Kluyveromyces lactis: one gene and its partners. The protein of the gene in region 4 interacts with the protein of the main gene of each other region in a pairwise test. Links are inferred from orthologs where the notes say so. Each region holds a gene or a part of one and is shown on either strand. Other genes may lie near its edges. The genes, in order: MPP10, UTP15, NAN1, UTP8, UTP4, UTP5 and UTP10.

What was found.
Region 1: the proteins of UTP8 (region 4) and MPP10 interact in binary tests that used the Saccharomyces cerevisiae proteins (3 or more experiments, as listed by UniProt). The link is inferred for Kluyveromyces lactis from reciprocal best matches to the Saccharomyces cerevisiae genes UTP8 and MPP10.
Region 2: the proteins of UTP8 (region 4) and UTP15 interact in binary tests that used the Saccharomyces cerevisiae proteins (3 or more experiments, as listed by UniProt). The link is inferred for Kluyveromyces lactis from reciprocal best matches to the Saccharomyces cerevisiae genes UTP8 and UTP15.
Region 3: the proteins of UTP8 (region 4) and NAN1 interact in binary tests that used the Saccharomyces cerevisiae proteins (3 or more experiments, as listed by UniProt). The link is inferred for Kluyveromyces lactis from reciprocal best matches to the Saccharomyces cerevisiae genes UTP8 and NAN1.
Region 5: the proteins of UTP8 (region 4) and UTP4 interact in binary tests that used the Saccharomyces cerevisiae proteins (3 or more experiments, as listed by UniProt). The link is inferred for Kluyveromyces lactis from reciprocal best matches to the Saccharomyces cerevisiae genes UTP8 and UTP4.
Region 6: the proteins of UTP8 (region 4) and UTP5 interact in binary tests that used the Saccharomyces cerevisiae proteins (3 or more experiments, as listed by UniProt). The link is inferred for Kluyveromyces lactis from reciprocal best matches to the Saccharomyces cerevisiae genes UTP8 and UTP5.
Region 7: the proteins of UTP8 (region 4) and UTP10 interact in binary tests that used the Saccharomyces cerevisiae proteins (3 or more experiments, as listed by UniProt). The link is inferred for Kluyveromyces lactis from reciprocal best matches to the Saccharomyces cerevisiae genes UTP8 and UTP10.

The regions. Positions count from the first base shown.
Region 1 is NC_006040.1:821,799-825,277, forward strand, and holds MPP10 (rRNA-processing protein MPP10), read right to left. Parts: upstream 2,328-3,479; coding exon 501-2,327; downstream 1-500. Other genes in the region: NOC3 (Noc3p), read left to right, coding at 1-401; AVT1 (Avt1p), read right to left, coding at 2,720-3,479. UniProt on the Saccharomyces cerevisiae protein: Involved in nucleolar processing of pre-18S ribosomal RNA. Required for the early cleavages at sites A0, A1 and A2 during 18S ribosomal pre-RNA processing.
Region 2 is NC_006042.1:1,275,041-1,278,594, reverse strand, and holds UTP15 (snoRNA-binding rRNA-processing protein UTP15), read right to left. Parts: upstream 2,064-3,554; coding exon 501-2,063; downstream 1-500. Other genes in the region: SLD2 (Sld2p), read left to right, coding at 1-351; AIP1 (Aip1p), read left to right, coding at 2,623-3,554. UniProt on the Saccharomyces cerevisiae protein: Involved in nucleolar processing of pre-18S ribosomal RNA. Required for optimal pre-ribosomal RNA transcription by RNA polymerase I together with a subset of U3 proteins required for transcription (t-UTPs).
Region 3 is NC_006040.1:574,045-578,151, reverse strand, and holds NAN1 (Nan1p), read left to right. Parts: upstream 1-1,307; coding exon 1,308-3,863; downstream 3,864-4,107. Other genes in the region: dynamin-related GTPase MGM1, read left to right, coding at 1-80; DNA-directed RNA polymerase core subunit RPB10, read right to left, coding at 606-818. UniProt on the Saccharomyces cerevisiae protein: Involved in nucleolar processing of pre-18S ribosomal RNA. Required for optimal pre-ribosomal RNA transcription by RNA polymerase I together with a subset of U3 proteins required for transcription (t-UTPs).
Region 4 is NC_006041.1:412,788-416,626, forward strand, and holds UTP8 (Utp8p), read left to right. Parts: upstream 1-1,395; coding exon 1,396-3,339; downstream 3,340-3,839. Other genes in the region: KLLA0_E04621g (uncharacterized protein), read left to right, coding at 1-391; SYF2 (Syf2p), read right to left, coding at 490-1,155; KLLA0_E04687g (uncharacterized protein), read right to left, coding at 3,391-3,839. UniProt on the Saccharomyces cerevisiae protein: Involved in nucleolar processing of pre-18S ribosomal RNA. Also has a role in nuclear tRNA export. It acts between the steps of tRNA maturation/aminoacylation and its subsequent translocation out of the nucleus.
Region 5 is NC_006040.1:1,131,567-1,135,573, reverse strand, and holds UTP4 (small subunit rRNA maturation protein UTP4), read left to right. Parts: upstream 1-1,296; coding exon 1,297-3,507; downstream 3,508-4,007. Other genes in the region: condensin subunit YCG1, read right to left, coding at 1-1,057; KLLA0_D13200g (uncharacterized protein), read right to left, coding at 3,590-4,007. UniProt on the Saccharomyces cerevisiae protein: Involved in nucleolar processing of pre-18S ribosomal RNA. Required for optimal pre-ribosomal RNA transcription by RNA polymerase I together with a subset of U3 proteins required for transcription (t-UTPs).
Region 6 is NC_006039.1:579,073-582,744, reverse strand, and holds UTP5 (Utp5p), read right to left. Parts: upstream 2,397-3,672; coding exon 501-2,396; downstream 1-500. Other genes in the region: negative cofactor 2 transcription regulator complex subunit NCB2, read left to right, coding at 3,528-3,672. UniProt on the Saccharomyces cerevisiae protein: Involved in nucleolar processing of pre-18S ribosomal RNA. Required for optimal pre-ribosomal RNA transcription by RNA polymerase I together with a subset of U3 proteins required for transcription (t-UTPs).
Region 7 is NC_006042.1:1,974,057-1,978,002, forward strand, and holds the start of UTP10 (snoRNA-binding rRNA-processing protein UTP10), read left to right. Parts: upstream 1-1,146; coding exon 1,147-3,946. Other genes in the region: KLLA0_F21164g (uncharacterized protein), read right to left, coding at 1-224. UniProt on the Saccharomyces cerevisiae protein: Involved in nucleolar processing of pre-18S ribosomal RNA. Required for optimal pre-ribosomal RNA transcription by RNA polymerase I together with a subset of U3 proteins required for transcription (t-UTPs). Involved in ribosome biosynthesis.

The DNA of each region.
Region 1 (3,479 bases), on a different chromosome or scaffold from region 4:
ATGAACTCGTCAAACCATCAGTTAACGTATCAACAAAAGCAGAGTTATTGTTGAAAGCCCTTGATCATGTCTTTTTCAGATCAAAATCTGGCACTAAACAAAGAGCTGCTGCGTTCACAAAGAGAATTTACATGGCTTTGCTGCACACTCCAGAAAAAACATCAATTGCACTGCTGAAGTTTTTGGATAAACTAACTACCAAATATCCAGAAGTACTGGGTTTATACTCTACAGACGATAGAATTGGAAATGGGGAGTTCCGCATCGACACAGACTTACCAAGTAGAAGTAATGCAGAAGCAGCAACTATATGGGAAAATAGCCTTCTTGTCAAGCATTACAGTCCTTCTGTTGTAAAAGGTGTAAGATCATTATTCCATAAATCTCAAGAACATAAATAGTTTGGGGGATAAAAAGATAATTAAGAATTCTCTTATTTACCACCTTCATTTCAATGCAATTGCATTAATTATAGTAATATATACTTACTGTAACAGTGTCTATAACTTGAAATTGATGTTACCAGATGCATTATCCTTCTTTATATTACCCTTAACATCAGTTTTGGCACCCTTTTTATCGATAACGGTTATGTTCTTGGATTTAGTCAAGGTATTAAGAACATCATCCGTCTTACTCTTCTTTCTAGGTTGTTCGGCTCTTTTCGCAGATAGCTTCGATCTCTTTCTCTTAGCAGCTCTACGGAGTCTGTTTTTATCCTCTCTGGACAGTTCATCTCTGGACATCACCACACCATTCTTCAAAGTTATTTCATTAGAGTTCTCTGATTTACCAACTTTGTAGATTTCCTGAGGAGCTAATGTGGAACCACTTGACATTGTTAGTGGTTGTGCATCTTCCATAGAAATAGCGGCGGTTTGCACTCTTACTTCAAGATCTTTCTTTATCGGCTTAGGTATGAAGTGGGCTGACGATAATGCATCTAGTTTGTAAACCAAATCTTTATATAGCTCTGAAATTTCATCGTGACTTTTCTGTAATTCTTCTGATATTTCAGTATCCTCGGTAACACCTTTGAAATCATCTTCATAAATTTCAGCTAGTGATTTTGATGACTTTACATCACTTAGTTCGAATCTTGGTTTATTATTGTAGCCTGAAATATCGCTGATAACCCTCCTCTGTAGATCGTTAAAATCTTCTTCCTTGATCCTTCTACGGATCATATTCTCGAGAGTTTCTGTTACCTCAGCTGTTATAACTGGCACAGGTTTGGCAGTTCTTTCGAACTCAAGATCTTCCGTTAACAAGGCATCTTCTGGCCTATCGCGAGCTTTTACTTCACCTTTTAACGCCCATTTCTTCTCAGCAACAGCTTCCTTTTCGAGGGATTCTATTTGTCTTTTTAGCTCAAGTTGTTGACGTTCAAAGGTAGATAATGGTTGTTCAGCAGTTTCTTCATCTGATCCCTGAAAATCATCGTCTTCGTCAGCAAAAAGATCTAACTTAGCTTCCTCCATTGCATCATCATACTCGCTTTCGTCAAAGGATTCATCCTCTTCGGCCTCTGCTTTCTTTGAAGGTCCTGGCCGCCTGTCCTGGGAAGATTTTTTATTAGATGGCTTATCAAAGAAATCGTCGTAATATAGAGCTTCTTCATCTTCCTCCGATGGAACATCTGCGAAATAATCAACTTCTTCGTCATCCTCATCTTCTTCATCTGCATCTTGGCTTCTATTCTCAGCCTCAAGTGTTTGTCTATTGAATTCATCTAGATTGAAAAATTGATCGTTTACACCAAACTTGTCTTCGATCGCTTGTGGACTTTCTTGTGCTTCTACAAATTGATCATCAGGTTCCGAATCACTTTCGTTTTCCAATTTATCTTCTTCCTTCTCATGTAATTCTAAAGGTTCTGGTTCTGAGAACTGTTGTTCTTCATCTAAAACGAGCTCTTCATTTTCTGCTTCTTCCTCCTCCTCTTCAATAGCAGACTCTTCAGAAACTGGAGCTTCGTCTGCAGACATTTCATTGGAATTTTCAACATTAGAGGCATCATCTTCGTCTCCGCTGCTTTCCTCGCTCATATCATTCTCATTATCAACCTTCAGTTCGGCGATTTTTTCCATGATATCACCTTGAACATTATCTAAAATGATTTTTGACTGCCACCATACCTGGTTAGCATCTAGCCCATCAACCACTATCTCATCTAATGTTGTCTTTGAATTTCCATTGTTTTTATTCAGATTGATGACTTCGTCAAAGTAAGTCTTCACTGCCGATAGTGGTTCCTTGGACTCCAGAGCATCCTGGGAAAGAAGTCCAACAGGATTAGTTTTCAAAATTTCCAAAAACTGACTCATGTTGTGTTATGTGTGGGTCAGTGAAACGTTACCTATTTACTGGTGTAGCTGTAGTGGATGTATCGATACGATCAAGCTGCTACTATAGACGCATATTTCGTACATGCTGAGTGATGCGATGAGATGAGTTTTCATCAATTTTTCAGGTATCCAAAAATTTGAAAAAGAAAAAAATGATGGGAACTGTCGCCAATGCGGGTAAGAAGAGAGATAATAGACACAGTTGTGAGGCATTGGTTGGGTGATGAATACTAGACAGAAGTACATATGGGTGAAAAGTCATTATATGAAGTGTGATTCCCTTAGTTTGGGTGCTAAAATTTTGCATAAAGACACGTAGATGCATATACAAGAATGAGGTGCTGGCAAATTCAACAGCATTTGTAGGTAATTCATGAGGTGAAGGAGGCGTATACTCCAAGAGTGGATAATACTGCACTAATTAATATCGTAATATTACACGCTATCAATTCCCAAGATTTAATGGTTTTGTAGCAAATTCTTTTGTAGAACAAACATGGCAGAATGAAACAAATCATGAAACAAAGTGCAGCACCCAAGAATGCAATTATTTTGTCAAATTCAGGGAATAAAATAGCAATAATCACGAACATAACATTCACCATGATTCTGTTAAATATTCTGGTTGCCTTTGCGAAAAAAACCTTCGATGCTGGTTTAGTTTCATCGATGTGCACTACGTTAAACATTGAATCAAAGATGGAGACAATCGGTCTTGCATTAAGTGGTGTTTTGGCAAGTGGAATCAGTGAAAGAAGAGTTGAAATTAGGCCATAAACAAAAGGCGGGTATCCTGGAGTCAATAACACACTTCTTGTCACTTCATTCATAACAAGATTACCGAACATTAAAAATCCAACGACAGCAATTCCGATATCAGTAACAATGGTGATGCTATAAGTGGTCTTCAAACAACGAGTAAACTTCTCCGGATGCCTCATATCACTCTTTAAGTTGGGAAAGACTGCGTGACCTCCCCAGCATGCACTCAATAACCCTAAGGAAAGACAAAACTCCTTGAATGAATTGGGCCACATCGATGTGGCTTCTGGTTGCAATAATGACCCTGGTGAATATTGTTTTAGCAACCCACAGAAAACTACTAACAATGCAGTTCCAATAGTCGAGATA
Region 2 (3,554 bases), on a different chromosome or scaffold from region 4:
GAGGGAACTGTCGGCAATGAAACTGAGAGCAATTATGTGCGGAAAGTTAAAACCATAAAGAAAAGAACAAAAGCGAAGATGAGACCAGCAGCATTAAACGAGAAGTCGACCAACATTCCAGACAAAAATGTTCATGAACAGCTAGCAAAGTTGAAGGAACGTGAGTACAATAAAATGCTGGGTAAAGAAGTGGAAGAAAGTGAGTCTGACTCTGAACAACAATCCAATCCACCCGTAAAGAAGAAGCAACGTAAGAGTAAATACAACCTTGTTAGCAACAACTTCAAGCGTTTGAATCTTCCAACAAAGGCAGGAAGAAACAGAGCCAGTAAATGGAGAGGAAGAAGGTGATTTCTTCAAAGTCAGAACGTTAAAAACAAAGAAACAGACGTAACGAACGGGATGATACAGTTGTTGCAGTCTATGTACTATAAATGTAAATAAATATAATCTTTTACACGCATTCCTTTTTGTTATAGATCAGTGTAGAAAGGATTTTATCAGTTTGTTAACAATTGGAGCATACCCTCTATCTTTTGTGCTTCTTTTGCTTTGCGGATCTCTTCCCTTACTCTTTTCTTTAGAGTGATTACCATCTCTTCAAGTACTGGGGACTTCTCCAGTACACTACCGTAGAGTTCAATTACAACCGCAATCCAGTCTGCAACAATTGGTGCACTTCTAACATCTTCTATTCCCTTCAAGCACCAGTTGAGTAGTGGTTCTAGAGAACTTTCGTCTCTACCGTATAATGCAACCTTGATTTTACCTCTTTTCCTTAGTTCTTGTAATACCGTTAAAGTTAATTCTTTAGCCATACCGGGGATAAATGCAGAATCTAATGCGTCAGACCATTTGAATTGGTTGATATGCCTTTCGAATTGACGCAACTTACGCTGAGGATTTGGCTTATCGTTGTGTATAATATGCTCTTGATCACCTCTGTATTCGGACCCTCTCATCATTCTCTGGAAATTGTTGGATTTCGCAGACTTCTCTTGCTGTTGTAATGGTAAATCCTCCAAATCAGAGACATCAGCGAGGTTAATCTTTTTGGACTTCTTCTTCGTCTTGATGGCTAGAATTCCTGAGGATAAACCTGCAACGAAATGTTTATTACCTTGCGCATCGCCTGGTGAGACTGCACAACTTAGCACAGCGTTGCTAAACTTCCAGCCAAACTTGAATTGGAAGTTCTCCAACGGGGAAAAGATCTTAACATGACCATCAAGCGAGGATGCAACTAGTACGGAACTCATTGGTGATTCTTCTCCCATATTTGTGTAATTCAAACAGGTGACCGTCTTTGCGAAATTTTGACGTTCACAAAGGGCTCTATCGCTAGTCAAGTCCCATACTTTGAACCCGTTACCACCACACGATGCAAGCTGAGTAGGAGATATGGCTGTGATATCTTCCACAGGAAGACCGTGATCCAAAGTTGTCTGTGGTTTATCTGATTTCGTTCTAATATCGTACAATCTAACTACTCCATCGTACGACCCTGTAGCGACCATATGTGGAGCATTTGGCACAAAGCAGACTGATCTAACATAATCAGATGCTCCAGTTAACTGTAAAGTGGGTTCATAAGCATGAGAAACATCCCATAGTCTCACTACTCTATCGTCGTTTGCCGTCACCAAAGTCTTGTTATCCTGATCGTGAAACTTCGTCACATGCGTAGGATGCGACGAAGCTTGTATAGAAAGCAACAAAGTACGTGGATTATAACTATCATAAACGGACACTAACCCAGTAGCGTCACCTGCTACTAAAAGTTTACCGTCTTGACGGAAAGTGGCCGAATGCACCACATCTTTAAACCTAGAAAACGTCTTGATCACTTGTCTTGTCCTTGACGAGAAGACCTGTACCCTAGTAGAAGAGGTAACTGCAAAATCATGTGGATGCTGGGGATTGAAGGCAATATGAGTCACTGCATTGTGCTCTTTAACAAGCTGAGTAGATGAATAAGACCTCCAGTACCTCTGCTCTGGGGTGGTCTGCTTTGGTAACACAGGAGCCTTTACCGGCGTCACTCTAGGTCTCACAGACGACATTTTCTTCACAATATTTCTACCAATCTGATCGCCTGAATCACCTCTATCACTTAACAGTAGTCTGACGATACCAAACCGACTGATATAACTCGCAAATTACAGGGAAATCTATTTTATCAACCATGCGATGAGCTAAGGCTTCAATCATTTTTTTTTTCCAAAATCTGGTTTCTTTTCTTTGAAGACTCGAAGAATCTCGTTGATTGTGATTTTTCAGAGAAGAATAACCGTTCACTGTACTTTACAAGCAGATAAAGGGCCTTTAAGGCCCTTTATCTGCTTTTAACCTGGTTTCCCAGATTTTCTTGATTCCCAGGTATTCAGCAATACCACTTTCATTATACTAACTGGTATTTAGGATATCTTTTCTTTGTATTTCTGCATCCCAGTAGTTATTATTTCGTCTATTTACATTCCATATGTATGGAATTTATTTATACTCACCAGTTTATCAAGAAACTAAACCATGAGAACAGGACACGTTTGAGTCAGGAAGAGGTCTTTCTGGTGCGTTTACAGAGTGTTCCAAAAGTCAATTGATCTAGTATCTCGCGATAATATGGTTTCGATTAATTTAGCAAAGGTTTTTGCACCTCTCCCTTCTACAAAGAGAAACTTTACGACACATTTATCATATGATCCAAAGACTGACAGTTTAGCTTATGGTAGCGGTAGATCTGCCATCATTAGATCTTTAGATGGTGAACATGTCGTTCAATTCAATGGCCATGGTACCAGTAATGTCACTGTTGTAAAATTTTCTCCTATCCAGGGGTCTCAATATGTTGCTTCAGGAGATGATTCCGGTAGAGTTATCGTTTGGTCTTGGAATCAGGACGATAAGTCTGGAGAAATTGAGTACAACGTTAAGTCGGAACTACATGTGCTCGCTGGTCCTGTCGCTGATATATCCTGGGATTTTGAGGGTAAAAGATTGGCTGTTGTTGGTGAAGGTCGTGATAGGTTTGGTGCGTTTGTCTCTTGGGACTCGGGCAACTCGTTAGGTGAAGTCTCGGGTCACTCTCAAAGAGTCAATGCAGTTCATTTCAAGCAAAGCAGACCAATGAGAGCTTTCAGTGTCAGTGATGATGGTTCTGTTGTGTTTTACCAGGGTCCACCTTTCAAGTTTGCAAGCAGTGATAGAACGCATCACGGCCAAGGTAAATTCGTTAGAGACGTCAAGTTCTCTCCAGGTGCAGGGAAATATGCTGTGTCTGTCGGTAGCGATCGTAAGATATGTTGCTTTGATGGTAAGACTGGTGAATTTATCAAATACATTGAGTCTGAAAAGGCTCCAATTGGCGGTGGTTTGTTTGCTGTCGCATGGTTAGACGATGGTGAAGAGTCTTCTAGAGTTGTTACCGTGGGTGCTGATTGCACTGCAAGGTTGTGGGATGTGTCGTTGGATGATCCATTCCAACAGTCTTGGAAATTAGGTGCAGATGTTTCGAATCAAATTGTCGGTGTTGTTGTCACTAAGGATAACTCCAT
Region 3 (4,107 bases), on a different chromosome or scaffold from region 4:
TGGAACTCGCTTTGGAGAAAATAGATTCTATTCTTATGTTCAGAAAATCCTATAAGGGACTGTCGAAAAGAAACCTATAATGATCACTGTATCCTATACAACCGCTTCTGGAACACTTTATAATGACTACTATTTACGAGATCACTGTATATAAACAAAACTTAATCTTAATATGTTTCTACATGGAAATATGCCAACATCTTATGTAAGGCTTCCCGTCTTTAAATAATTAATGAACTTTTTAAAATCCCAACATACCAAATTTATAAAATCAGATGAATATGCTTTATTTAGGTGATGTGAATAGTATACAATGCAATAGTACATGAAATAGAATTGTGTGCATGCGTGCATGCGTGCTTCTTGTGCTTTCTTTATTTGTCGTTTCAGCAGCTGAACAGAAGTTACAGCAAACAGATGGTAATTGAAACTCAGTGGTTTTGTCTATTCTGGAGTCCATACGTCGAACGTAATAAAATGCAAACAAAGAACGCAAGAAAACAACGCGGTAGTAACCAGTGGCAGAAAAGTGAAGACGTAATTAAAGAGAATGGACCATTTTAGTGTAGAAGGGGGTATCGCAATTGATAGTAAAAGCAGACCACCTAATCTCTTTTTTCCAAAGGATTGTATCTCAAGAACTTTTCAATCAAATCGACATGTGTTAGAATCATTCTTCTGCAACAGTATCTCTTCAACCCCAATCTAGTCAAAGCAGTACCTTCTTCTAGTTCTTCTTCTTGCAACATATTCAAATAGGCTTCCCATTTGTCACCGACAACTTTCCCACAGGAAAAACATCTAACTGGAACAATCATCTCTCTTTAAAAGTATATCGAAACGAAAAAAAACCTAGAAACCTGGAAACCTGGAATAAACCCTCCGAGATTTATAAACTATCACAATAAGTGGATCAAAACCTGCTCGACCTTTTGAAAACTCATATAATTTGCATCACAAATCATCATATTCAACCAGCTTTCTTAATTCTTAATACTTTAATTTTTCATCGGTTCCAAATTTTTCATTAGATGCCCTTATATGTCACTTCTCACGATAGAGATGACCATCGTTTCTTTTCAAATCCTCGTCCTGCACAGGTTTCAACCATAAAATTTTCCAAAACTACAATTCTACATACGGTGAAAAAAAAGAATCCACATTAGACAAATAATTGAAAAGATGCGATGAGCTTATGAGTTATATGATGAGCTTGTCTTTTGAGAAGCAGAGAAAGAAAATACCAAGAGTAGGATCAGCCAGAGGCACCAACAAGAGTATCAGCTGTTATCGAATCCACGTTAAATATGCCAAACTCTTCGTTACCAATGTACAAGCTTTCTGTTGTTTCTGGTGGGAAGGTCGCTCTTCCTAGGATTCACAATAGATCCGCGACTAGAAAATCGGTGAGTTGTCTTACTCAGGACGGGTCAGCATACATTGTCCCTTTCAACAATCAGTTCAAAGTGTATTCAATTGATACTAGACAATGTATTAAGACATTGAAATTTGCTAATAATGATATTTTGACTTCGATACTCGATGAGCCTTCTGTAGAGGTGGTGCATATCGAGCCTATTATTGACGATGAGATGGATAAGATCAGAGTGTATACCAACACTGCGAAAGTAGTTATATTGAAGTATAAGGGTAAATTAGCCACGGAGATTAAAACTTGGTCTTTGAATATTACTGGCGAGTTATTTGCAGTTCTTGGCGATGGGAAGAAATTACTTACAGTTCAGAAAACAGGGAACTCTTACAGATATGATCTATATGAAAACGTTGAAGAGAAAGAGGAAGAATCTGAGGTTAAACACCTTGAAACTTTTGAGAATGTTTTACTTTCAACTTGGTCTAATAACAATAACTACCTTGCCCTAGTTTATTTGAACCAGGAAACTAAAAAACATGTGCTGATCAAATCTATGGTCGACAACAGTTCAGTTCAGAACTTCCCAGTACCATCTACAACATCTAGTACCACCATAAATTCCCATTTTGTCACTGCTCTTGCGTTAGATAACGACGGCCAGCAGTTGGCTATTGGATTTGCATCTGGTGTTATAAATTTGATCAATCTACCTGATCTGTCTCATAGATTATTGAAATGGCATATCGACTCAGTCCTATCCTTAGGATTTACAAATGACAACGCATATTTACTGTCTGGTGGTTGGGAGAAAGTTTTAAGTTTTTGGCAGTTGGCTACTAATATGCAACACTTTTTGCCAAGATTGAACGGTGTCGTCCTGGAATGCTTACCAGTAAGTGATAAGTACTATTCATTAGTGTTACAATTCGCTGAAAATAATACAAATTCTGACTACCAGATTACATTGCTCAATGCCACAGATCTATCATCAATACTTGCCATCAACGGCCCATTCCCGGTATTTGATACCATTACAAACGATGTTGAACAGCCAATTTCTACAGTTAACTCGAAAAGTTCTGTGTCGTCATCCAATATGCTACAATCGAAGAAAAAGCAAAAGAGAAAATTACTAAAGAGGAAAAAGCATGATTTCACCGCACCTTTGTCTGTACATCCATCTACAAAACATCTCTACTTACCACACGTTTCATCTTTGCAGTCTTACGATCTATACAAAAATGAACAGGTGAGCTACCAGTATGTTACATCCAGTGTCAACAATGCAGCAGGTAAGGTTAGACTTGAGTTAACTATCCAGGACCCTGTTGTACAGGATGTGAAATTCACCCTAGATGGTTTTTGGATGATCACATATGAAGTTGAGTACCCACCTGAGGGTTTATTGTCTTCTAAGGAGTTGTCACACGTTCTAAAATTCTGGAAATTAGATGACAACAAAGAATGGGAGTTGAAAACTAAAGTGTTGAACCCACATGGTAACAACGTCCCAGTGACAAACATAACTACAGCTCCAAATAGCATAAATTCTTCCCAGGGTTGTTTGACTGCTGATAACAATGGTGGATTAAAATACTGGAAGTTTGATTCGAAACAGAATAACTGGTGTTTGAACAGATTATTACTACCCAACTACAACCATTTTTCGAATTCGGTGCAACTAGCATGGTCCTTAGATGGCTCCTTAATCTTCCACGCTTTTGAAGATAAGCTATCTACCATTGAATTCAGCGAATTCAAACTACTGGAAGATGAAAATGAGTTACCAATCGAACGCACTTTGGATACTCCAATTCAAGCTCTTACACTTGTCAACGATTCGACATTGATAATCTCCACGAAGACTTCCTTGCATTCGTTCAATTTATTGACACAATCCACCATCAGCAGTTTCGATATCTACCCTTATGTGAACGGAGTTTACAAACCGGGCCATTTTGCCAGACTACTTGCATGCGATGCGAACACTGGAAGAATCGCACTTGCCATTAACCAACAAGCAGCAGGAACTGATGGCAATCCAACCTTACAACATAAAGCCAACATTTTAATTTTCAATTCCGATCTAACAGAAAAGTTGGGCAGCTTCGAACACAACGAATACATATCGTCGTTGGTATGGAATTACGCGGCAGATTTTATTTTCATGGATATCCAGTCTCGTCTTGGAATCGTGAGCACCACAACCAGCTCGGAAATGGTGGACGAATCGAATAATGATCAAGCATTTGAATCTCTACATCCCGATTCATTCAGCGAAAAACTACAAGAGCTTACGAGAAAGAAAGGTTTGGCAAACACAGATGCTGAGGATGGTGTAGATGAAGACATAGATCTAGAATTCATTAACGGGAACTTGTCACAAAACAAGACCATTAACATGAACAGTTTTACAAGTTTGTTTGAAAACATCGACAACGTTCAAATGAATACCTTGTTTGACCGCGTCATGAAGATTATCACATAGATGTTTTATACATTGACTCGAACATACGTATGTGTATATAATACAGAGAATATTTAAACAACCCTCCATTTAATTATTTATTCTGTCACTGACAGAAAAAATACTCGATGACAGATTAAATATGGAAAATAAAATAATCTAATAACTGTAAAATAAAACAAAAAACTAATGCGACAGAGATCAAAAAGAAGGAAATCACCTCCAAAGCAAATTAAGGCAGATGTTATGAAACATAGTTCCACCA
Region 4 (3,839 bases):
TCAAGATGCAAGATTGAACTTTGATACTTTACGTCATGAAATTAAATTGAAGCTGCAGGAAAAAGAGGTTGTAGCATCCTCTGAGGAAGCTGAAAAAAAGGTCGCAACTGAAACCCCTGAAACCCCCGAAAAGAAAACCAATGAGGAACCAGTTGATATGGCAAAGACAGAAGAAGATCCTGATTCTAAGCTTTTCGAACGATTAGAAGATCAGTTCGTGTCTGCAACCTCAGAAACTGTGGAATTCTTGGGAGAACTTACAGATAGTTCTGAGATCATTTCTTTGGTTAAGTTGTTCCATAATTTCCAATTGATCCATTACAAGCAATGTGTCAAGAGCTTAGAAGAAGATCTAGAAGTCCTTAACTCACTAGATTCTGAAGACAAATGAAGAAATCCACCTCTATATATCGTTAAAATAAAATAATTATTCATAATCAATCGTAAATATCTCATATGTAAATGCCCAATATACCTATTTTCCCATGCCTATTTGAACTCGCTATTCAATTTTGCATTAAACCGTTTATTCTTGTCATTAATAAATCCATCATCCAAATTGATCTTATTTTGTTTATCTAGTTTTTGTTTCCGTACCATATACCTTTTCTTTGATCGTTCGTTCAAATCATTCACCATTTTTTCTACTAGTTCAGGATTATCTTCTACTTGAACCTTCCCATCCTCAGTTATTCCACCTTTCAACGGATGTGATATATCCTTCGGAAGCGCATCTACTTCCTTCTTGTAGCTGTTCTTTGCTATAGTTTGGAAGTCCCCCATCACGCTTTTATTATGTCTTGAATTCTGTGTCTTAGCTTCCCATTTTTCATATTCGCGTATTGAGTAGTTTGCCAATTTTATCGGATCTTCTGGTTCGCTTTTGTTACTTCTAGCTTTATCTTCGCCATCGTCAGCCATACTGTATACTCTTCTTTCAGAGTTTTTCTTCTCTTCAGCTATTATGGCCTTCTTATTCCTTATACTTACTTCCACTTTTTGTTTCCGCAAACTCTTCAACTTTTTTTCAATTTCCATTAGATCATTCATCTTCGAATATTTATTATCAGCCTGTGTCCAGTTTACAATGTGATTTGTGGCATTCAAATAAGGGCTACACTTTCTGTCACCTGGAAGATATCTGAGTATATTCATCGCATCTCATCTTGTTTCTGTTTGCATTTCGACACTATATATTACCCGGACTGACTCCCAAAAGTAAAGTTTGAAAAATTTGAAGTACTCAGAAGAAGAGATGAGATGCGATGAGATGCGATGAGCTGTAAGTGCAAAGATACACTCAACCGCTGCTCTTGAAAGGACGAGGTGAAGTATCAAATATCCTGTGTTCAATACAGTTTGCTTTGATATTATTTATCGAAAGATATTGAGAAAATGGCATCCATCTCACAGCCTTTTAGGCTCTCTGCTCTACCTAAGATTCCATCATTGAATAATTATGCGAATCAAACAGACTACTTACAAGTTGTTGATAATCTTTCACCATCAGCCAATAAAGTGAATATTGGTATATCAGGTTCCAGTATATCACAATACTTGATTAATCCAACCCCGAAGCTGGTTTTTAACTTGCCAATCCCCTCTACGAACATTGTTACTGCATGTGACGTGGTAGAAGATGCAGCCAATACAGAAGTCTGGTGTTACGGATTGGAAGCTAGAAAGGTATCACATTTACACTTGGCTACTAAGCCGATGATTCAAGATGCCGTGTCATCTTCAAATGCTGAAATCACATCTCAGTTCAAATATAAACTAAAATCTGAAGTCGTTAGCATTAAGATCTATTCTAAAGCAGAGAAAGTTCTCGTTATCTTAAGGAATGGACTGATTCAAACATTTGATTATGAATTGAAACTTTCAAATACTATTGATATATCTTATGATGATATCAGATTTGTTCAATTCTTCCAAGATGGGCAGGGAAACGATTTCTTTTTCGTGTTATGCCAACTAAGTGATGAGAAAATCTGTTACAAACTTTTCCAAGTTAGGAGTGAGTCCGTCTCATGTATTGAACTAAATTCTATCATACTAGAAAATTACACTTTAGAGAATGCAAAGTTGTGTTTTGAGTTCGGGAAATTATATGTTTTAAAGAACTCAAATGAATTATCAATCTATCAGTTACCACATTTGCAACTACAAACTAGCATTCAGCTACCTTTCATTTCCAAGGATGCAGTTGTATCCATCAAACCAGTTTCTTCAAACCGTGTATTGTTGACTGCTGATAATACCATATATCTTGTGGATTTGTTATACAATGCTATACTATTCCAAAAGGATTTACAGAACATCAAAGCTATTCAACTACTCTCTACTGCAGTTGTTCAAGAAAACTCTGAAGACAATAGAAAAACTATAGCATTAGATGTTACAACTAAAAACGGTGCTAACCCTACGAGTTACTTGGATGTTATTAACATTGATGTTGGTACCGGTACCTTAAAAGATGCGATGGGTAAAGGGTTCATGGTTAAACAAAAGCAGAAACTACAGAAACTCTTTGAAGAAAGCAATGAGGACGACGATGTGGAATTGCCATCTCCAGACTATGAACGCATTATAAAACAACTCCATATCTGTAAAAAAATAGAGAACTTTGATTCTATATTTTTTAAGATGCTTTCCTTAGACAAGGAATATTATACAGACAATGACAGATTTTTAAATGATTCTGATTTACTCACTCAAATAATCGATTGCTTGTTTCTAAATTTCAAGGATGAATATCCAAAAGCATTGACATACCTTCTAACACACCCTTTATTCCCACCGGTTCACGCTAAGGGCTTATTAACCAAGTTGAAAAATAACCCAAGACTTTTCAAACAAGCTATTGTTACTTGTCCGAATGTTCCACTTGACGATTTGTTAACCGAGCTTTTCAATATAACGAATGCAGAGCTCTGTTTTGATATTACGCTAAGAGTGCTACAAGATTACAAGAAAGAATCAATCAAAGCAGGTATAAGAAAAATTGAGAAGATGGATATCACAAACTTTTTGGATATGATTTTGAACTCGAATAAGGCAGATTCGGACTTGAAACTTAATAAGCCACAAATCTTCCAACTTATGAGTTTAATAATAGATTCCATCGGTTTGTTTGCGTTAGACGATGAATATTTAGAGAAACTTTCCTCTTTTGTCGATGCGCAGGTTTCTGTAGTGTCACAAAACATAGAACTTTTGCATTTGGCAGAGCATTACACCAAGCATTCATCGGTTGTTAACAATAAATCTAATTCATCAACAAATTCGTCTTCTACACAACCTATTTCAGCTTACACAGTGGACTATTTAGAATGCTAATAAGTGTGTAGTATAATCATAAACATTAGAACTTTTCGTAAAATGATTTCATCAGCTTTCCATATTGAACTGGAACTGAATTACCTCTTTTGGATCCATGAAAGAGTATGTTTCACAATCCTCATCACTTTCATAAATCACATGCTCCTCGTACGTAACTCTGTTATCTTTGTCGACAAGTATGACAATCTGGGATCTAGTTCCATAGTAATCGCCTATTGGCAATGAAGTTCCAATAGCGTCTGCACCTTTAGTAATTCTTAAAGGCGGTACATAAATACTGGAAGTCGTCACAGAATCCACATCTTCGCCCTCATTAAACGTATGGTTTGATAAAAGTTCAAAACATTTCTGCAATAGTTCTTCCTTGGCAATGCCCGTAGTATTTTTCGCCAACGCATCAAGTAAAACGTACCCATATTCCGTCTTATTCCATCTACTTGTGTGTTCACCTACAGCACAGTGGAAAATGTCGTTGGATATCACCATATGCTCCATCT
Region 5 (4,007 bases), on a different chromosome or scaffold from region 4:
ACCCCCAGGTCATCAGTTTCTCTAAAATATCAGAATCCACCTCATCGAACGTATGCTTCCCCAAACTCTTTAGTACTCTTGTAAACACCAATCTTCTATTGATGAAATTAACATCTCGTACCCGTTCCAAGATAACATTCTGGGTCGCTTTCGAACGTACAATATTCAACATTGCTGCCCTCCGAACTTCTGGACTTGGATCATTCCTAATGATATGCATTAAACTCTGTGTAGCTTCATCGAGTTGGAAATTTACTCCGGTTTCTGATTCATTAATCATCGATACGTTATCGTTTTGAAATTTTGTCAAACAAAATATCGCCTGTATCCTAACATGAGGTTCCTTGTCATACACCCTATGCTTCAAAACCCACATAATCAACTCGTACAATTCCTCATCAATTTCTCCCATATTATCCATAGTTGCGGCCAAAAGTTGCATTACTCTGTATCGTACGTTTTTATTTTTCGATTCCACTCCTCGAAGCAGATTCCTCACAAATCCATCAATAAATCCTCCGAAATGTACTTCCAAATTCCTCACATTTTGCTCATTACCATCTTCGGTTCTCATCTTGTTAAGATTCGACTCTATATTTGCGATGAACCCTGAAATCAACCGAACAATGCGATCCCCCACGATTTCCTGTTTCTTCAGCGGCAAGATTTTGACAGTCATTTTGATAAACCAATAATGAAACACATCTGATATCTCTTGCTCCACACATTTCAAATAAATCCTGTATAAGACAGCTACATGACGTCTGTGACCAGCATAACTCTTCTGCGCCACCTGGAAAACCTCCGCTATAGAATTCAGAACACGACGATTTGTAGGAGATTCTCCATCCTGAACATCCATATCAAACAATTGCACCCTTTTGGTCAATAATACCACGAGTATACACCAGGGAAAGGCTGCTATGAGGTTGCCGCCGATGTTTCTTCCACTTTCCTTTTCCTCTTTGTTTATTAGTTTGTTTATGTGAAGAGAAGATCCAATTGTAAACAAATCTCGTTTTCCCAATAGATCTAATATATCACGTGATATGATCATACTGTACGGTGTTGAAGCTAAACTAGTTTCTTTTTGAAAAATTTCAGCGTTAAGAGCACACAAGCTTAGAACAGAAGCTCATCTCATCGGATAACAAAGTCGTATATTTCTATCTAGTCAGTGAAGTTTTTTGATTGACATCAGCCTACAGTTTGTCAATCTTTTGTTTCATTCTAATACATTAGCTTTTGTTCTCTGATACAGGTTTAAGGTCCTCAATTTATAGAACACATTTGATCATGACTGATACTGGGAAGAAACAGGTAGTGCATCGATCCAGGTTTGTGCAGTTTACACCTGGTAATATAACGGCTCTTGCATTTTCACACAAAAGTACTGATAAAGCGGCACCGCAAGAGCTAAGACTGGCTATTGGTAGATCCAATGGTAATATTGAGATCTGGAATCCAAGAGATGATTGGGTACAAGAGTTCGTGATCTTGGGAGGTGAAGGAAGATCCATTGAAGGTCTTTCCTGGTGCAGTATTCGTGGAGAGCCTTTGAGACTATTTTCGATCGGTGGCTCCACTGTAGTTACAGAATGGGATTTGACAACCGGGTTGCCGTTAGTAAATTACGATTGTAACTCTGGTGTGATTTGGTCCATTGCAATGAGCAACGATATGAATAAGCTAGCGGTCGGATGTGATAACGGCAGTGTAGTACTTATTAACATCAGTGGTGGTAAAGGTGTTCTTGAGCATGAGAGCATACTTACAAGGCAAGAATCTCGTGTCTTATCGTTGACATGGACAGCCAATGATGAATCTTTGGTCGCTGGTTGTTCTGATGGAAGGATTAGAATATGGTATACTAAGGAGCAAGACGAAAACAAGGGAAGACTATTACATACTATGAAAGTGGATAAATCGAAGAAAGAATCTACACTCGTATGGTCTGTGTTGTATCTAGCTAAACAGAACCAAATTGTGTCTGGTGATTCTACTGGGTCGGTCAAATTCTGGGACTTAAACTACGCAACATTGACTCAATCTTTCAAGGTTCATGATGCCGATGTTCTATGTCTGGCTACTGATCTGGATAATTCACAATTGTTCACTAGTGGTGTTGATAGAAAGATTTTCCAATTCTCTTACATCGATACAGGAAAGAGCATGAAATGGATCAGTACTTCAAACAGATTATTCCATTCCAATGATGTTAGATCTATGTCCTCTTATCAATGTATGGGATCCGACTTCCTAGTGTCTGGTGGTATTGAAAAGTCTCTTGTCATGTGCTCAATGTCCTCTTTCGCTGAAGGAAATTATAGAAAGATGCCACTAGTTACCCCATTCCATAAGAGCATCCTGGTCAACAAACAACAAAGACTATTGGTGATGTGGCAGGATAATATCGTGAAGATATGGTATATTGGCGAAGACGTCAATGAGCCTAAGAACTACAAATTAGTTAGTAAATTGGTTTTGAAGGATGAACAAAACATCCAAACCTGTGCACTATCAACTGACGGACAAGTTTTATTAGTGGGAAGACTAAATACTACCAAAGTTTTCCATTTACAACCAACAGACAACAAATTGAAAGTAACAAAGTTGGACAATGAGTTTTTGTTGAGAACTGGTTGCAAATTTGCTAAGTTCATTGATGATTCTAGGTTAATAATGTGTTCACAATCTGATGAAATAGTTAGAATTGACCTTGAAGAGGATGACGACGAAAAAACCGTAACTATTGAGTTACCTGAAGCGAACTCAACGAAATCCAGCAATAAACTATCATATTTGAATGCAGTGAACCATTTAGATGCAAATGAACGTTACGCTGTTGCGTCTAGAGGTACCGGTGCTCTAGACTTAATAGATTTGACAACAAACAGTAGTAAAGCTTTAATTCGCATGAACAACTTCATCACTGCACTGTGCATCACACCAAGAGAGACTGTAGTAGTAGTGACATCAGAAAATAAAATATACGAGTTCAATTTGGAATCCGAGAAGGATCAACTACTCACTGACTGGTTCAAAGCCAATCATGAAAACCTCCCAAGGCAATTTACTTCCTTGAAAGAGAGATGCACAGGAATATTCTTAGATGAAATGGATGAGCATAAGGTATGGTTCTGGGGATCTAACTGGTTGGTTAACATCAACATGTCATTAGACTTGCCAGTTAGCAAAAGAAAGAAGCAAAAGAAGCGTGACCGTGACGGATTAACTATTTCCACTGACGGTCTACAGGCAGACGTCGATGAGGATGATGAAGACGATGAAGAACTCGAAGTTAAGGAAGATTATCTCTTAAAAACTCAGAGAGCGCAAGATGTCACCTCCAAGAAGAGATCTGATAAGGCGTTTTTCTATACCGATAAGTATAGACCTCTATTATTCGCTGGAAAGATCGCAAGTGACCAATTAATCATTGTGGAAAGACCAAACTTCTTGATCTCCCAACCTCCTGCATTTGAATTAGAAAAGTTAGTATTCTAATTTATAATTTCTGTACATTATTATAAACTCGATCTTCATCGCGAAATTGATTTTTAACATAGGGTCATCATTCCGCCGCATATCATCTGTGTAGTGTTCTTTCTGCTACCTTAATACCAATGAATGTCAAGAGCGAACTGCAAGCGAACATTTTATCAGACCAGACGTCGATTACAACATCAGGAATAGTGAATTTCTCACCCAAGAGTTGATTGACCTGTTTTGAGACATCATATGGTAAATTGGAGCGAATCATCAAGATAGTGGCAAGGATGTACACACCTGTCAACTCACACACAGCGAGGTTTTTGATGATCGAAGGGGGTTTCTTGGTATAGAATGCATCCTTATTGCTCGTAGGAAGCTCAGAGCCATTGGTACTCTGCATTGCAGATAACGCTAATAATTGTAGTTTGACAGGCAGTAATGTCAAAAGATAAGAGATTGTCGTAGTGACAGTAGAAAGAGAGCACACGAACAACGAGATGGACAATATCAAG
Region 6 (3,672 bases), on a different chromosome or scaffold from region 4:
AAAGAATACACGACACATTTATACTTTATCTGTCAAAGATATAAAAAAAAACAAAACGAAACGATAGATACTGATCCCATGGACAAGATCAACTCCCGTACCGCGAGACGAACCTACGTGCTTGCAACCAGTAGAGAAATTCTAAAATTGTTTACGAGAACGGGATTTCCGAGCCGGATAGACCGTCTACCAAAAATGCACGTTCTAAACCAACACAGAACACCTCATTAAACGCTTCTACATTTTCCATGTTCCACGCTTTAAATTTTTAACTTGTTTGGTTCTGGATTAAATTGAATTCTGAGAGCATCACTAGCAAACAATTGTTTTTTTTAATTAGATTATTTACAGACAGAGTCAAACTCCGATGTTTCCATTACCCGGCCATAATGATCAATCAAGCTTAAAGCTGCATGGAGGAAGAATGTCAGGTCTAAGTCGATACATAGCAGCTGCATTTTTCAATGCGTTAGCGTTTTATATTTTTTCTTTTATGTACGCTAATGCTGAACTTCTTCGTCAGAGTATCCTTCTTCAACGTCGACCCTCATTTCGTCATCGTCGTCAAATCCTTCTTCAGTGTATGTAAGTTCCTGATTATCAGCCTCGCTGTGTTCGTCATCATCTTCAGAGTACTCTGCACTGTCTTCACCATCGTCTATTAATCCAGCATCGTCTAGCTCTTCTATATATTCCACTTCTTCCTCTTCATCTTCATTTTGGTTCGACTCGTCATCCTGATATGGAGCGACAAGTTCAGAATCAAGTTGATCCTTGCCGTATTGTACGGCTCTCTTACTGTTCAATTCATCTAATGAACGTGTAATACGTGTATCCAATGCCATGAGTGTTGGTAAGAGATCTGCTCGTTTCCTCAAAGTAGCATGTAGCGATGACAATGAATTTATCAAATTTGGAATGGTAACTAAGTAACCCCCGTGAATTATTAGGCACCATTTCACCCACACGTTCAAAGCACCTTGTCTATGAGTTTGTCTGGCGATACGTTCAGCGAGTCTTTCCAAGAGAATCGTAGCAAGTTGGGGGGATAACCTGGTTATGGTTGCTTGAATGACTTTTTCGTCGCGTGTGTTAAGGACTGTTTCCAATAGAGCATGATCATTTGATTTTAATGCTTGAGCTAATACAACAGAAGAAGTACCAGCGTTGGCTCTTCTCCTTTCCTTTGGTTTTCTCGATGGTGGTGAAATTATATTTAGTCTATCCTGTAAAGTTTCTGAAATCCCTTCTCCTTCTATATCATCTAAACTTTGGACAATGGATTCCACATGCTTAAAGTTATCACCAGATGTTACCGTTGCATTACCCTCTTTGTAGAGCTTTGCCGAAGAAATATCACTGTTTTGGTTGTTCCTGGTTTGTGTAGATTTAGCAGATGGCAATGGCTTGGATAAAGTGGTGACTGAATCCGTTAGGTTACCTAATTGAACTTGATCAAAGTAAGGTGTGGTTGCATTTTCTAACCACGAAAAATTAATTAGATCTTTGTTGATAAAACTTTTGATAATAGGCAATCTGGTTGCGGAATTAGACCTTAATAAAGTTATAGTTTTGTTTTTTTGTTTGGATATCTTACCAGAACGTCTCTTATTCCCTGAATTGATTGATACCAAAGGTTCTTCAAAGATAGCAATATCCCCATCTTCTGTTGTTGCCGACACGTGAGACCAATCCTCAGATATCGAAATTGATATAACGTTCGAGTCCGCTACTAGGACGGACTTAGTCTTGGTAGTGTCCAAATCATAAATATTCAAAAATCTATCGTCCTGAGATGCACTCAAAAATGCTGTTCCATCTGTGGTCACTTGAAGGAAAGACACAGGTGAAATATGGCCAGGGTATTGTAACAACAATTTCTTTGAAATGACATCGATTAAGTAAATTTGATGAGAAGCGACAAGAATACGATTGCTATCAACTATGCATAGCTTTTTTAAGTCCTTACATTCATCAATTTTGAATTTTTTTGATACATTCTGTGATACCATGTCGAATAAAAAAATAGTATCATCACCAGTCAAACACCAGGCCTTGTCCTTGCTTGAAAAGAGTTGGAAATCTAAAACTGCTAAGCTTGATCCTGTGTTCAGTTTCGCCACTATTTCATTCGATAAAGGAGAGTATAGCCATATTTCCCCTAGGTTTAGACCCAGAACTACCAATGGTGTGTCATTGTAAGTAATCCATTGTATGCATGTACAGCAGACGTCTTTCCCCTCCAAATAGAGAAAATTATCGTTCACTAAACCAGATTTGGAGGCAGTTGTTGGCTCCACTGATACCCGCTGTTTATCCAAAGCGGTGGAAACGTATGCAAAATATTGTCCGGTTGGATCATATTGTGATAATACGACTGGCGAAGCTGTTGCCATCGTTAAGCTTGCTATTGTTATTCGTGTGGTAGAGTGTAGACCTCTAGCTTAAACAGTACGAAAGCCGGTGATTGTTCAATTAATATCCCAAGACGTTTTATCGAAACACTTTAGGAAAGAAGTAAGTACACAAAAGTAAATACTGTGCGATGAGCTCAGATGAGATGCGATGAGATGAGCTATGAAAAGTTTCAAATGAAAAGCTTTAGCTTGGAAAGGAGAAAGAAAAGTGAGATTTACTTACAAAAAACAAGTGCCGGGTAATAAGAAGTTAGCATATATTGTTCACGTGATTTGGAGCATATAGCCAGTGGTCCCCAATTTAAGGCTTTTCTTCAGGATACATCCACTGAGCTGAGTTCGTTAACTCAGCTTTTGCAATCTTATTTTACAACCTCCAAACATTGCCTTCCTGCTTTCAAGTTATACACTTCATATCTCCTAACAAACACTAGTTAGCATTTCTACTGTGATGAGAGGAAGCTGGGTGATTAACACAACATAAAGAATTTACGTCAAGTAAGGAAAGAGCTCCTGCCTAACAACCAAGGTCAACACTTATATGTCTCTGTCCTGTTGCTAATTTGAATATACATCTATATATATATATTTTCCAATCAGAATTCCCTTATTGTCCCTTGTTTGCATAGGTGATGCGATGTGTGCGATGTGTGTTGTTGTTTTAATTTTTTTTTTTTTATTTTCAACTTTTCTTCTTAGTTTGATTCGTAGTTTTATATATAAAGCATCAAAAAATGTGCCAATTTGGCGAGCCATATCATTTTTTTGCATAGTGAATGAAATAGCGATGAGTATTTTTTTAGTATATATTATTATACATAATTCAGATCTAGAGTTCAAGGAGGACAAAAAAGTGTAATACCAGGCATTTAAAAACAAAAGTTGACATTGTTAAATTTGTTTACAATCTGTTATCATCTCAAGTTCATCCAATTATCTAATTGATTACTACGTGAAGTGCTTGTTTGGTATATTGACTTGCAGCACAGAATTAAGTTCGAGAGTATTATAGTTTTTTCAGGGAAGCTTGCAAAACCAAAAAATAATAATCACAAGCTTTATCTTAGAAAATAAAGACCGTTAGAATTTCAACCATAAGCAATTGAAAACATGGTTGGAGAGGTTGACGACGTTACATTACCGAAGGCTACCGTTCAAAAAATCATATCTGAAGTACTTGATTCCGATCTAACATTCAGTAAGGAGGCTCGTGAAATAATCATCGAATGTGGGGTAGAGTTCATCATGATGCTAG
Region 7 (3,946 bases), on a different chromosome or scaffold from region 4:
TATTCTGGGAAAGTCACCGGAGTCTTTCCATCCTTCAAAGTAGAAACATGAACCAAGTCACCATACTTAACAACACCTCTAGCAACCTCAGCAGCGTATTCACGAGTTAGGTTGAACTCTTTCTCCTTATGAGAGGACTCTCTCAATTTCTTATCGCACCCTTCGCGTGCAGAAACGGAATCTAAAGCTAAAGCCAAAGATAACAACAAAGTACTACACTTCATGACTGAATTATTAATGGCTCAATAACTGATGTCGTTATTTGGATAAACAATCTCTCCGCAAGTTGTAACCCCTAAGCTCATCGCTATTCAATCTTGATAGAAGGTTCCTTAAACCTGTCGTTGCCTATATATAAAATAAACGGTACAAAATTTATAATGCGGTAAATTACATAATGCAAACTAAGGTAAGGAAGGTGCTCAGCCTCAAACTTCCGAAAAAGTAGTTTGTTTACCAGAAGAAAACATTTTTGCAGTTCACCCAAGCCTTTGCATTGAGATTGGTTCGGACGAACCATCCGCCTAGATCTCGGATCTAAGTTTAATCGCAGAGACATCGCCGCATAACCACATCGCTCCAGCCAGGTGTGTTTTTCTTTTGTTCTTATATGAGCCGGTCCTTTGCTGAAAAGCCAGTCTGAACGCAGGCCCAACGCACACAACTCACACACACCCTCAAATGGAAACGTTGAGGCATTGCTAAGTAGATAGCTGCTATGAGCCTTGTTTATGCCAAACATGCTTATACGGTTGGCTGAGATCCGAAATTCCTCAGAAACTAGCCATTACTTGTAGTGTGACCTTGCACGGCACATGATGTATTGAAACAACTCTTAAGTCTGTATGTACTTCAATAGATCCGAAAGCAGGTGGAAACTGACCAGTAGCTTGCATATTGAGCTACGGGGAGACTTGACCCAAGTTTATGGTATCACTCCATTTTCATACACGTGACCATAAATGAATTTCTTTTCACCGCAGCATGAACAAATCGAAAATTTTAAAGAGTGAAAGAAAAAAAAAGTAGCGATGAGATGAGATGAGATGAGGTTCAAATCGTTGGCTTTGCAATCATCTCCTGGCGATAGATTTTTGATCAGGTTCGACTTGCTAGTACTCCAGGCAACGGCAGAGACGATATAGAATGTCATCTTTACGTGATCAATTAGCGCAGGTAGCGCAGAATAACGCTACTGTTGCTCTTGATAGAAAGAGAAGACAAAAGTTACATTCTGCGTCTTTGGTTTACAATCCGAAGACTGCTGCTACTCAGGACTATGAGTATATATACGATACAGCGTTGGAATCGTTTCATACTTTGGTGAGTTTGGACTTGAGGTTCAAAGTTTTCACTAATTCCTTATTCAGTGCATCTTCCGTGACCATTGATAGAAACGTTCAAACAAAGGATCAGATTAGAGATTTGGATAACGCAGTTAATGCGTATTTGATGTTGATTTCGCCGAAATGGCATCTAACTCCAGCTTTGCATGCTACGGAATGGTTGATTCGTAGGTTCCAAATTCATATCCATAACGCCGAAATGCTTCTTCTATCTACTTTGAACCAATACCAAACGCCGGTGTTCAAAAGGATCCTCAATATCGTTAAGCTACCACCTTTGTTCAACCCATTTACCAATTTTGTCAGAAACGATAAGAATCCAACCGATTTGACGTTGATCAAATTGTTTAACGATATGGACTTCTTGAAGCTTTATTCAAATTATCTGTCCAAGATTATCAAGCAAAAAGTTACCTATACGAATCAACTGCTATTTACCACATGTTGTTTCATTAACGTGATCGCTTTCAATGCGAACGATGAAGATAAGTTAAATAAATTGGTCCCATTGATTTTGGAAATTTCCGCAAAACTTTTGGCATCGGATTCAAGCGATTGTCAAATGGCTGCTCATACTATGCTCGCGGTACTTGCCACCGCATTGCCTTTGAACAAAAGCATTATCATTGCGGCTACGGAAACTATCTTGGCCAATTTAAAGGAAGACGATGCTAGAAAAAAAGCTCTCGTCACAATCTCAAAACTTTTCCAAACCTTGAAAGGTGTAGGTAATGTGGATCAATTACCGGTCAAGATCTATAAACTCGTTGATAATTCTTTCCCATTCGAATATCTACTACAGTTCCTGAGTAATGAAAACAAATATTCCTCAGATAAATTTTTCACTGCATACATTAGGTCTGTCATCAGATATGATCATGATAAATTGAGTCAAATTGTCAAAATCTTAAGGAAGATTAAGTTGGAAAAATACGAAGTTAGATTTATCATCACTGATTTGATACATTTATCTGAAGTTCTAGAGGACAAGTCACAATTAATCGATGTTTTTGAATACTTCATTTCCATTAACGAGGGACTAGTTTTGAAATGTCTTCAAGCACTAAACCTGACCGGAGAAGTTTTCGAAATAAGATTGACAACTTCATTATTTTCCGTCAAGAACAGTGCGGAACAATCTGGTGAAGATATCATTAAAGTTCTAGATGATGCTAAAGCATCAACCGCGAATGGTTCAGCTGTTCCATTTAAAGATTTCATGACCAAAAACTCAGAGTTCATCTCCACTAAAGCGGAGTCTATGCTTCTTGTTAAAGATGAAAAGTTTGTCAAGCTGTTGTCATTATTTGTGGAAGCTGTAAGTAAAGGATATCAACCAGGTCTATTTTTATCCTCCTTCTTCACTACTTTAGAGAGCAGGATAACGTTTGTGCTCAGAATCATCGTATCCCCTGGTTCGCCTGTTGCTCTCAGATTGATTTCACTAACACAGTTAAGCAAATTCATCAATGGTATAGATGAGCAAACGGATCTTTTCTCTTTGGTACCTATTCTAGTGACAGCATTGATGGATATTTCTAGATCTGTTCGTTCCAACACGAAAAAGGTTCTACAACAGATAGCCAAGAGACCTTTCACAGCAAAGTATTTCCTATCTAACGTACTCTACGGAGAGAATTTAAAGGTGCCAATGTTAAGTCCGAAAGATAGCAAGTTTTGGTTGACCAACTTTTTAAGCGATTACATCGTTGAAAGTACAGATATTTCATCCCTCGTCATTCCATCCAAAAATGACATGGTATATATGCTGTTTTGGTGCAACCAGGCACTGCATCTTCCTCTCGCCTATTCGAAGACTATAATGTTAAAGCTCTTGACCGCTGTGCCACAATATGCTTTTACATATTCAAAGGTGTTCGAACAATTTATGGCCACATACATCACGGAAAGAAGTTCCTGGGAAACGAAGTGCATCAAAAATAAAACCAATTTCAAAGACTTCGAAACTGCGGTATGTGCCATTGTTGCACCAAAAGAAAAAAACAGTTTCGCGATAGATTTTTTGATTAACTGTTTGGAATCAGAATATGAACAACTTTCGAATATCATGGCAGACAGAATTTTATCTTTGTATCCAACATTGAAATTCCCAAACCAATTAAAAATTGTTCAGAGTATAATAGACTCCTCAGTTGACAAAGAACTATCATATGATGGTCTAGAAACCCTTCAAAGTCTTCCATTAACTGCAGATATTTTTGTCTCTGTGTTGAAAAGTAATACCATAAACAGCGAAGATCAAACAGATTTGACTAAACGTAGAAGAAGAAGATCGTCTACGGTTAACAAGTCCGCCCTACAGAAACAAGATATTTCTCAAATTGCCGAAGCCCACCTAAAGAAAATGACTATTATTCTGGAGACTTTGGATAAATTGAAGGTAAAGAGTAACGAAAATCTATTGAATGCCTTATTCAACCTTTTGTCCGACTTGGAAACTTTAGACCATGATGGTGGTTTGCCTGTACTTTACGCTCAGGAAACTCTGTCCTCTTGTCTTTTGAACACTATTTCTTCTCTAAAATCTAACAACGGAAGTATGAAATTACCCTCTATTAGAGCAGATATACTAGTCGCTG